Daphnia pulex: one gene and its partners. The main gene of each other region encodes a partner of the protein of the gene in region 2 in a complex. Links are inferred from orthologs where the notes say so. Each region holds a gene or a part of one and is shown on either strand. Other genes may lie near its edges.

Region 1 (2,671 bases), on a different chromosome or scaffold from region 2:
TAGTGTGAAAGAAGAGGGAGTTATGCACTGATCTGTGGTTTCACCTTTGTTACAATATCGTACAACAGGTCAACAGCATGTGATGAGTTTTTGAGATTTCCCCAAATGAAAAACAAACCTGATGCCTTCAAGAAATTAGTGTTTGACATTTTGAAAAAAAAAGGATCATGTTTGAAAAGTGAGATTTTACTTATTTCATCTATAAAAGTTTTAAGGTTTGCAGGATTAGGGGTTTTCGCTATTTCTTTACGTTTACGACCTGATCATGACTTTATATCACATAAGAAGAATGTTCTTCGATATCATTTAATAATGAAAGAAGTTGAGTGTGTATAAACAAAAACAGTAGGTTTACTTTCTACTCAAATTTAACACAATATATTTCACATAATCAGTTCAATCCTGGGTTTGTATACATGAGGCTACATAATAAGGTATTTATTTTTTACATTCGTGACAGAACCATTCGTCATCGTCGAGGAATATTCTTTTTACAACATAAGGGAGATAGATGTTACAAAATACTGGTAGTCAAAAAGAGGAGTGGTTAACTTTGTTTATGATTATCTCCGCGGCGTTGGAACCTAAAGCAACCCATCATCAAAGGACAAGGCGCTTCCATATTCCGCTCTTAAAGGATCTTTGATTGACGCCGCACCATGTGCTAATTCTTTCCCCTTAAAATCAATTACTTTTTCATTGTCAGTTCATTCATGTGATGACAAAGCACCGAGTGAAACTGAACACGAAAATACCAAGTATTTTTTCGCACTCACAATTCAGTTAAAATGTCTTTTGATATTCTCACTATAATAAAGTAAACTGCATCTGCATGTTAACTTAGTTTTGTATTGTTTTGTTTCAAGATATGAAAGACGTGTTTAGCTGTTAGTTTATTGGAATAAGAGACACGGGCATTGCATGGTTTATAGCGTGAAATCAGCTGAATCACACGTTACGTGTAAATCAGCAGAAATAGTGAGTTGCTGGTCAATGCGTTTGAAGGTCACAAAGAACCCCTCGAAGCCCCGTTCTGAGAACTCCGGCTCGACTTTCAGGCAGGTAAGGGGCGACAAAGGGTGACTCACTATATGCGTTTATAACGTGTATAAATCCTTACACTGAGCAAATAGAGCGAGAAATTGAAATGGTTAACAAGAAATATCACCCTGAATTGAAATGTTTATAAATTCTACTTTATTCCTGTTGCAAGACACTTAACTATATTTACAATTTGAATTTTAAGGTACTGATTCAATGTTGGACATTGTACTCTAAACTCTAGCTAAGTTAACGATAACGAAATAAAAGTTCTTTCTATACACTGACTATTTTTATTTATTAGTGATATTCAAATATATATGATTGTTATAAATACATTTTATTTGAATTTCCAAAGAAAAAAAATCTAAACCATTCAAATTTCAAAACACAGAAACAGAATGCCATCGGTCGCCAAATGAAAGTACTACATATTTCCATTCCGGAGTGCAATAGCCACTTTTGACGCTAGAGGACTCCGGACTCCGGAGTGCAATAGCCACTTTTGACACTAGAGCGCTCCGGACTCCGGAGTGCAATAGATTTTACCAAACTTAACTTACAAATTTTCGAAGTTGGCGTGGAAGACATTTCATTTTTTCCCTCTAATTAAATAAAATGGCTGCACCAGTACCCACGCTTTTACCTCTGGTAATACTTTTTTAAAGTTATGCAATTAAATCTTCACCTAAATTTGGTGTGGTATACAGGAGTTGGTTGATAAATGCATTGGTTCAAGGATCCACATTATCATGAAGAATGACAAGGAAATAGTGGGAACTTTGCTAGGGTTCGACGATTTTGTCAACATGGTGCTGGAAGATGTGTCAGAATTTGAATCTACTCCAGAAGGAAGACGTGTGACTAAGCTAGACCAGATCCTGTTGAATGGAAACAACATAACTATGGTAAGGATGCTATAGCAACATAATTTATTGTCTTATTACTTGAACTAATAGCCATTTCATGATTGATATTTAGTTAGTTCCTGGTGGAGAGGGACCAGAAGCTCATTCATGAATTTTTCTTTAATTTTCGAAAGACAATACATCATTCACTCAAATCCTTGAGAATATTTACAATTTCTGACATAGTTGGGCGGTCTTCAGGTTTTGGTTGCCAACAGCTTTGATAAAGCTTACTAAATGTTGTTTCTTCTTCATTACAATTACTATTGAGGACTGGTCTTTCATCCTTGGCAACAACCTAATAACCAACAAGAAACTTAACAATGAATCACATAAAAAGTCTAAAAATGAAATACCAGGTATGCTACAGTGGGCCAGTCCAAGTCAGAAAAAGGTATTTGATTGTGTTCAAATTGCCATAATGTTATACCATAGGAATAGACATCAGATTTTGTTGAGGGAACATCCCCTTGAAGTATTTCTGGGGAACAGTAAGAAACTGTACCTACTCTTTGTTGGTACTGAAACAGAAATTAAATAGAACACAAATTACATCCATTTTCAATCACATCAAGATATGACAAGATAAAACTAACCTGGAATAAATCAAGCTGATGAATGTTTGCAGAATTTCCAAAGTCTCCCAATTTAATCCATTTTTCACTTTTCACCATAATATTAGCAGGTTTCACATCAAGGTGCAGCACTCCATTTGCATGACA
Region 2 (4,446 bases):
ACTGCTTTTATTGCATCAACCAAAATAGTAACACAACAGCTTAATCTACCAATTTTGAGCCATGGCAATCAACACATTTTTTAAGTTATAGCGGAATGTTTGAAATTAGTTGATGAATGTATTCTACGTGGCACACCTTTTGCCAAATCATAGAATCCTCTCACAATAAACCTTCTTCACTAGTAGCCGTCACAAATCCGCGAGTGAACTCATTGATCATTTTCAGTCAAACAGTTTCAACGGGTATGGCGTCCCCGAATTATTTAGGCAAATCAAGAATGACAATGTTACCCTCTGGTTCAGTAACAAATTTCATAGCAGCTTTGCTGCGGTTAACCGGGAACCTATAAACAGTTGATAACAATATTCGGTAACATACACACACAAGAAATTTAATTTGTAATGTGAAAATAAGATTACCAGTCATGTACTACACCAATATGTCTAGTTGATTTCATCTTGCAAAAAGGAAGAATATGTTCTTTGAGGATGTTGTTGTATGTTCTTGAATCGAACTTGCCAGTCACTCTGCACAGAGAAATATTTGGATGGAACGAAGATATACCACCAAAAAACAACACAGTATTACCAGTTTATTTCTCCGAACCAAAATGCAACTCTATCTTGCTGTTTTTGTCGTAACTGGAATTAGGCAACTTCGAACTGGAATTGAGCAATATTCCTAACGATTCAACAAGCGATTCGCCACTCAAAGAGGCCGTTTTTGATTTAGCGGAAATCGTCGCTAGGGGTTCTAAAAATTAACAAATAGATGGGTTTTGTGCAAAATTTTTCGCTAAGTCGATTGCTGAAAACCGCAATCGCCTAGCTTTTGTAATTTGGGAGATTTTTTTAAAAAAACTGAGAGGGGGTAGCCGAAATTTGGAATTTTTTTCGTTTTTTGTGCAGCAGTTTTCTCGTCAACTGCTGCACCTGGAAATATTCGAATTGTTTCATAATGATGGGATAGCCCACCTCTTCAAACAATTTTCATGTTTTTTCGATGCTCGGCTCAGAAGCCGAGATATTAACGATTGAAATTTTTGAAAAAATTTCTAAAAATTTCTTCGTTTTTCGGCCATGCCGGGCTTCATCCTATAAGCCACCTAGCGCTGCGAAAATCGAGAGGGGGTGGTCACCCCAACAGACCCTATATTCAGGGTAAACGTGGTCCGATTTGGAAACTGGAATGAGCGCTCTAGTGAGTGTGTCAGCTACTACGCTTAGCTACTTTTGAGAGCCTAGATGGCTCTGTTTCCAGTTTCTACTTCACAATTCTGACAAGCTCCGCCCTAAAATGTCTGAAAATCGGGGATACGTTTACCCTAAAACCGGGATAGGGAAGCCAACACAGCCGAGAACCGACCAGGCATCTATTGCTCTGGTTCTGCTATCGGCCGCAGTGGTGCGCATCGGCGTAAACTGCGCAGGACTTTTTGTTCGACTACTACTTTTTCATTGGAATAACATCTATAGTCTTTGAGGCGATCAGCCTACCTCACTAGCGAACCTGGTGCGGAATCTTGGAACCCTTAGTATAAACAAAAATCGACAACGACATTGTTCGTTTTGGACTTTTGGTTTTGCCGCACAAGTCTTCACATGTAAAACAAATAGTTAAAAACTATACTGGCCTTAATGTTTTCATTATGTTTTTCCTTTATTGATTTACGGATAAATTTATCTTCTGTTTTCTTTTTTTAAGTTTTATTCAATAGGAGGATTAACACGCCATCTGTTGCGGAATCAATGGATTTGTATTTGTCCCCGCTTTCCAATCCCGCATTTAGCAATTTACCAACACCCAACGGCATCAAAATAAATATTGCAAAAGCTGAAGTCTGCTTCTCAGTTCTCAAGTTCTGAAGTAAAATTGTTGCAAGATCATTAAGTGAATACAGATTCTGGTACCCTACTTTTATTGTTTGATATTTTAAGGAATTCTATTGAAAAAAATTTTATGTTTAAAGAAATCAAAACTTCCCACCTAAGTTAAACTACTTTCTTTCAGTTCTTAAGGAGACATGGACCGAAAAGAAAGTCGCGATCATAATAATTTTCGAAAAAGAAGACATCGTTCCCCATCTAGGTCTCCGTCAAGATCACATTCAAAAAGTTATGCCTCCGTCAAATCCAAACAAATAAAGGAAGATATAAGTCTCAACATTCAGAGCGAAGAACTGTTGACAGGTATGTATTCAAAATTATGTTTATTAGTAACTAGTAACCAATAATTTTTTTTAAGGAAAAGGGAATGATGAAAGACCAGTTGCTAATTCAACCAATGATACTTCCATTTCGATTGAGGAAACCAACAGAATAAGAGCTGAACTTGGTTTGAAGCCATTGGAGATTGGAGGAGAAAATTCAAATGTTGAAGCCAGTACTGAGAAAAAGGATGTTCATGTCCCAGCAGGTAATGATTTCATTTAAATGTCTTTACTTGTACAATTTAAATGTGGTATTTCTCTAGAGAACCTCCGTGAAAAGAAAGCCACAGAAGAGTTGAGACGAAAACTAGATGAAAGACGAGAAAAGAGGCAAATAGAACAAAAGCTTGCACAAGTGCGCACTCTTGCTCATACAACAGCTGATGATGATGACAATGCTGTTAGCTGGGTTGAAAAATCAAGAAGGATTCAGAAAGAAAAGGAAGAAGCTAATAAAAGAGCAAAAATGCTTGAAGAAATGGATGAAGCATTTGGTGTAGGAGATATGGTAACTACTGAACTGATTAAACAAAAAGCAAAAGCATACACAAGTAGAGACTTACGAGGAATAAAAGTAGAACATGACCGGGTAAGTCACCGACAACGTATACTTTTATTTGAATACCTGTGTTGATGTTGCTTTATTTTGTTAGGAAATGATAGCTGAAGGGAAAGAAGTAGTATTGACTCTTAAAGATCAAAACATCTTGCAAGAGGAAGGGGATGTTTTGGTGAATGTCAACCTTGTTGATATAGAACGCTACAAAAAGAACAATGAAATCAAGAAACAGAGACCGGGATATCAGCCCTATGAAGAGGAAGAAGTTGATGAATTGGGCCTTCCCAAACCAAAGCTCTTGCTTGCTAAATATGACACAGAAATAGAAGGAGAAAAACATGATAGCTTTGTCCTAGGTAAAATATTAGATTTGTTTTGTTGATCTTTACAAAAATATTTATGTTAAAATTCTAGGTAAAATTGGAGATGAAGAAGCCAAAATGAAAGCCCAAAAGTTGATGAAAGACAAACTCAAAATGCAACAGAAGAAAATTGAATCACTGGAATCGCGACCGCTCCAAATTGCATCTGAATATTATACAGCAGAAGAAATGGTTTCCTTCAAAAAAGTTAAACGTCGCGTCAAAAAGGTTCGATCCAAAGGCGACGGCATTTTAAAAGCTGACGATCTTATTCAAGAAACGCAAGAAACAACTTCGTCAGACTTGGGATCGAGATCTCGAAAGAAGAGAATGGATGAAGAGGTCACAGAAGGTATTTTAGTTTGACTAGTATATTGTTTTATTATTACTTATTATGTCTTGTTTATCCAACGCCAGATTTAAGCGGATTCAAGATTACTGTAGACGAATCCCAAAAAGAAATACGTCAGGCACTATTAAAAGCTAATAAACTAAAAGAAAGGAAGGCTGATCAGTGGGACATGAACATGATTACGCGGTCATTAAAACGCGAGCCTTTGGAAGAAACGGAAGGTATGGAAGAGGATCCTCTGAAGAGTAGTATCATACTGAATGCCACAGCAGAATTCTGTCGTACTCTTGGTGACATACCAACCTATGGTATGGCAGGCAATCGTGATGAAGACGAAGATGAGTTAATGGTAATTCATTGCATGAATGTTTTTTTTTTTTTGGTTTTGACTTTAATTAATTGCGTTTCTGTTTTGGCAATAGGATTTCGAGCGACAGTTGGCAGAAGAACGCAGAAGAAATCAAGAAAAAGAAGAGCGAAAAAGGGAGGCTGAGCGTCTTCAAGAACGCGGTGGATGGAATGTTCTGGAACGTGAAAACGATCAAGGTTCCGACGACAGCATGGATGTCGATCGTAATGAAAAGGGTATGTATACTGTGTTCTCGTCACTTTTATTGTTGTCAGTGTTTGCATTTTTTTCTTTTCTCTCTGTAAAATAGATAACGCTACTGTTATCCTGGACGAGGAACCTGATGTCGGCTCGGGAATGGCTGCAGCTTTGAAATTGGCTATGAGCAAAGGCTATCTGGAGAAAGAAGAGAAGAAGAGGATAGTTATTTCTAAGTCCGCCCAAGAGCTGCAGGCGCAGCGCTACACCATAGAAGATAAAGCAGCGTACAATTATTTTGTGTTTTGTTTATACGATATTCAGTTATTCTTATTTTATTTTGTTATTTCAGCGAGGACGACAAATATTCAAGAAGAAATCGTTTTGATGGCCCGGTTGTAGAATTTAAAGACAAA
Region 3 (2,495 bases), on a different chromosome or scaffold from region 2:
TGATTTTCAATCAAGTGCACCAGATGTTTTATCCCAACATATTGCATCTCACAGTAACTTTGATTTTCTGGGCCTGAAAAAGAGCTTTAGTATCTATCAGCAAATTAAGATTGTCAACTACGTCAGGAGACAAGTGCATGAAAAGAAATGCATACTTTGCGATGAGCAGTTTGAATCCCGGGATAAACTGAGAGAGCACATGCAAAACTTCAGTCACTTTAAACTTCCCGATCGGGCAGTTTGGGATCAGTCACAGTAAGCCGGATACATTCAAAATTTTCTATTTGTGGATCCTATTTTATTGGATAAACTTTTAGGTACTACTTTCCAACCTATGAAAATGATGCTCTTCTTTGTTTGCTAGAAGATACCATTCCAGATGATTCTACTGAAACCGACCAAGTAAATTATATTAAGTCTGATTTTTATTAATGTAAAAACTTGTTTTCATGATTTTTCATTTAATTAGGTAACAGTGATCCCTGAAGACACCATCATAAACCTTAAAGTAGTTGAAGAAGAACTGCTTAAACTAGAGCTAATTGTAAAAAAATGAATGATTCTACAAAGCTGTAAAAAAGATTGTATTTCAAGTGATCATGATGGAATAATGCAAACTTTAATGGTGGATTTGAGCTAGTGGTTCTGCTCTTATTTCTGATAAATTGAGTCTGGAATCAAGTTCATTATCAATTTCCCCAATTAAAACTCTGAAATTACAACAAGAAATAGTTATGATTGAGTTATTTTACAGCTAATAAGTGGATGAAACATACACATTGTCTCCTCTGATGATGTGCAGTCCCAGTTGGACTTGTTCAACTCCCTGGGTAGAACTAAACACTCTCTCATGACTGTCGTCAATGATAAGGTTGATAGTCTGATCGAATCCTTTAAGAATACCCTGTAAAAAGAATACATTGAAATTATTTCAAACGGTTTATTGAGTGAGGATGATGCCTTGTGATCGGGCGTTACAACTTACAATAAAATTCCTCCCATCACTCGTGATAACACATACGGAACCTGCGAACAAGAAAGATACAATTTTTCAGTGAATAATAAACAATATAATAATTAAAACTCACGATTAACGTAAGAATCTAACGTTGATGCCATGATTTCTTCACTCGCTTCACTTTGTATTTGGCTTGTAAAAATCGTCTGCAATACAGCGTTGCCGTTTATTTTACTTTAATATCAACAAAGTATTTTCATTCATTCTATTCAGATTTAATTCATACAAACTGTAGTAAACTTATGTTTCAGTGATTAATGATTTCGATAGAGTAATATAATTTTTGTTTATGTATGGAAATTGGTTATTTGAAAAAGACTAAAGAAATCGAGAAGGGGTGCCTGAGGCTATTTTCCCGAGACGTTAATCAAATGGTTGGTGAGGAGAAGAACTCAGCAGGCTAGAGTTTTGATGAATCGTTTTCTTTGGCCATCAAATAAATTTGAAAATCAGATAGGCCCTACATTTCCATTATGCGGTATAATTCTTTATTTGGTCGGTTTTGAGGTATTAACATTAAACGAAATAATATATTAGCGTGACTAACCCCAGCCCAATTTTGTTAAATCTATTTATTTTAAATATACATGTCCATTAAATAAAGTACCGTCTGTCATTTTTAATGACATCATTTTTTACATTTGATTGCAATCAAAACGAAATATGGCATGTCACGTACACACACGCAAACGTCGTCTGCTCTTTGCAGAAAATTGCCGATTTGAAATATTTTGATGTCCGACTTTTAATGGTTGAATATTTTAGCATCGAGATATGGTGCTTTATCTGGTCAATATTCGTGCAGTTTTGAAGCGCGCAATTCCTTTAAGTGCTACTTGTTCCCATTCAAGAAGCACATGCTCAACTCCCGCAGAGACCCGCGGGATCTCTCCAAATTTAGAATTCTCTCCCGACTGCGATGAAGCGACGAGGCAAATGCTTGAGAAAGACTTTCAAGTCTACAAAGATTTCATCAGTGCTGAAGAAGAGAATAACCTATTGGAAGAGTTGGAGGTGAAGTTCAAAAGGTCCCGGTATCAGTATGACCATTGGGATGATGTAAGTCTGAAATTTCGTGTTCACGTAGGTTGTCTGACTGTTGAATGACCACCATTTGTTATTCGAAACCCAAAAGGCTATCCACGGATACAGGGAAACAGAGAAACCTACTTGGAATCAAGTCAATGACTGTGTTATAAATCGGTTGAGAGCTTTTGCCTTTTCAACTACCACGATGCAGCATGTCCATGTGCTTGATTTAGCTGAGAATGGTCACATCAAACCACATCTGGACAGCATAAAGGTATGATAGATGACAGCGTTTGGAAATTATCATTCTAATCTATTCGTATATTTCTCTAAACATAGTTTTGTGGCCCCACCATATCGGGCATATCTCTGCTCACAGCCAGTGTGATGAGGCTCATACATATACAGCGACCCCAAGTCTTGGTCACGGCACTATTACCGAGAAGAT

Evidence for each region. The genes of interacting proteins can lie anywhere in the genome.
Region 1: U4/U6.U5 tri-snRNP-associated protein 1-like (region 2) and U6 snRNA-associated Sm-like protein LSm5 share a complex: the UniProt entries of both Homo sapiens proteins name them as parts of the U4/U6-U5 tri-snRNP complex. The link is inferred for Daphnia pulex from reciprocal best matches to the Homo sapiens genes SART1 and LSM5.
Region 3: U4/U6.U5 tri-snRNP-associated protein 1-like (region 2) and U6 snRNA-associated Sm-like protein LSm8 share a complex: the UniProt entries of both Homo sapiens proteins name them as parts of the U4/U6-U5 tri-snRNP complex. The link is inferred for Daphnia pulex from reciprocal best matches to the Homo sapiens genes SART1 and LSM8.

What each region holds. Positions count from the first base shown.
Region 1 is NC_060021.1:7,375,105-7,377,775, forward strand, and holds U6 snRNA-associated Sm-like protein LSm5, read left to right. Parts: upstream 1-1,572; 5' UTR 1,573-1,604; coding exon of another isoform or gene 1,605-1,637; 5' UTR 1,638-1,659; coding exon 1,660-1,692; exon of another isoform or gene 1,693-1,751; coding exon 1,752-1,949; intron 1,950-2,022; coding exon 2,023-2,061; 3' UTR 2,062-2,091; downstream 2,092-2,671. Other genes in the region: peptidyl-prolyl cis-trans isomerase H-like, read right to left, coding at 1,605-1,637; serine/threonine-protein kinase mos-like, read right to left, coding at 2,092-2,247, 2,306-2,470, 2,546-2,671. UniProt on the Homo sapiens protein: Plays a role in pre-mRNA splicing as component of the U4/U6-U5 tri-snRNP complex that is involved in spliceosome assembly, and as component of the precatalytic spliceosome (spliceosome B complex).
Region 2 is NC_060026.1:10,447,279-10,451,724, forward strand, and holds the start of U4/U6.U5 tri-snRNP-associated protein 1-like, read left to right. Parts: upstream 1-1,578; 5' UTR 1,579-1,604; intron 1,605-1,705; 5' UTR 1,706-1,907; intron 1,908-1,988; exon of another isoform or gene 1,989-2,011; 5' UTR 2,012-2,024; coding exon 2,025-2,190; intron 2,191-2,245; coding exon 2,246-2,416; intron 2,417-2,473; coding exon 2,474-2,799; intron 2,800-2,863; coding exon 2,864-3,125; intron 3,126-3,183; coding exon 3,184-3,483; intron 3,484-3,548; coding exon 3,549-3,832; intron 3,833-3,905; coding exon 3,906-4,068; intron 4,069-4,142; coding exon 4,143-4,317; intron 4,318-4,382; coding exon 4,383-4,446. UniProt on the Homo sapiens protein: Plays a role in mRNA splicing as a component of the U4/U6-U5 tri-snRNP, one of the building blocks of the spliceosome. May also bind to DNA.
Region 3 is NC_060019.1:331,181-333,675, reverse strand, and holds U6 snRNA-associated Sm-like protein LSm8, read right to left. Parts: upstream 1,199-2,495; 5' UTR 1,120-1,198; coding exon 1,089-1,119; intron 1,027-1,088; coding exon 986-1,026; intron 905-985; coding exon 777-904; exon of another isoform or gene 711-776; coding exon 620-710; 3' UTR 568-619; downstream 1-567. Other genes in the region: zinc finger protein 277-like, read left to right, coding at 1-255, 318-402, 470-556; alpha-ketoglutarate-dependent dioxygenase alkB homolog 7, mitochondrial-like, read left to right, coding at 1,793-2,077, 2,154-2,321, 2,387-2,495. UniProt on the Homo sapiens protein: Plays a role in pre-mRNA splicing as component of the U4/U6-U5 tri-snRNP complex that is involved in spliceosome assembly, and as component of the precatalytic spliceosome (spliceosome B complex).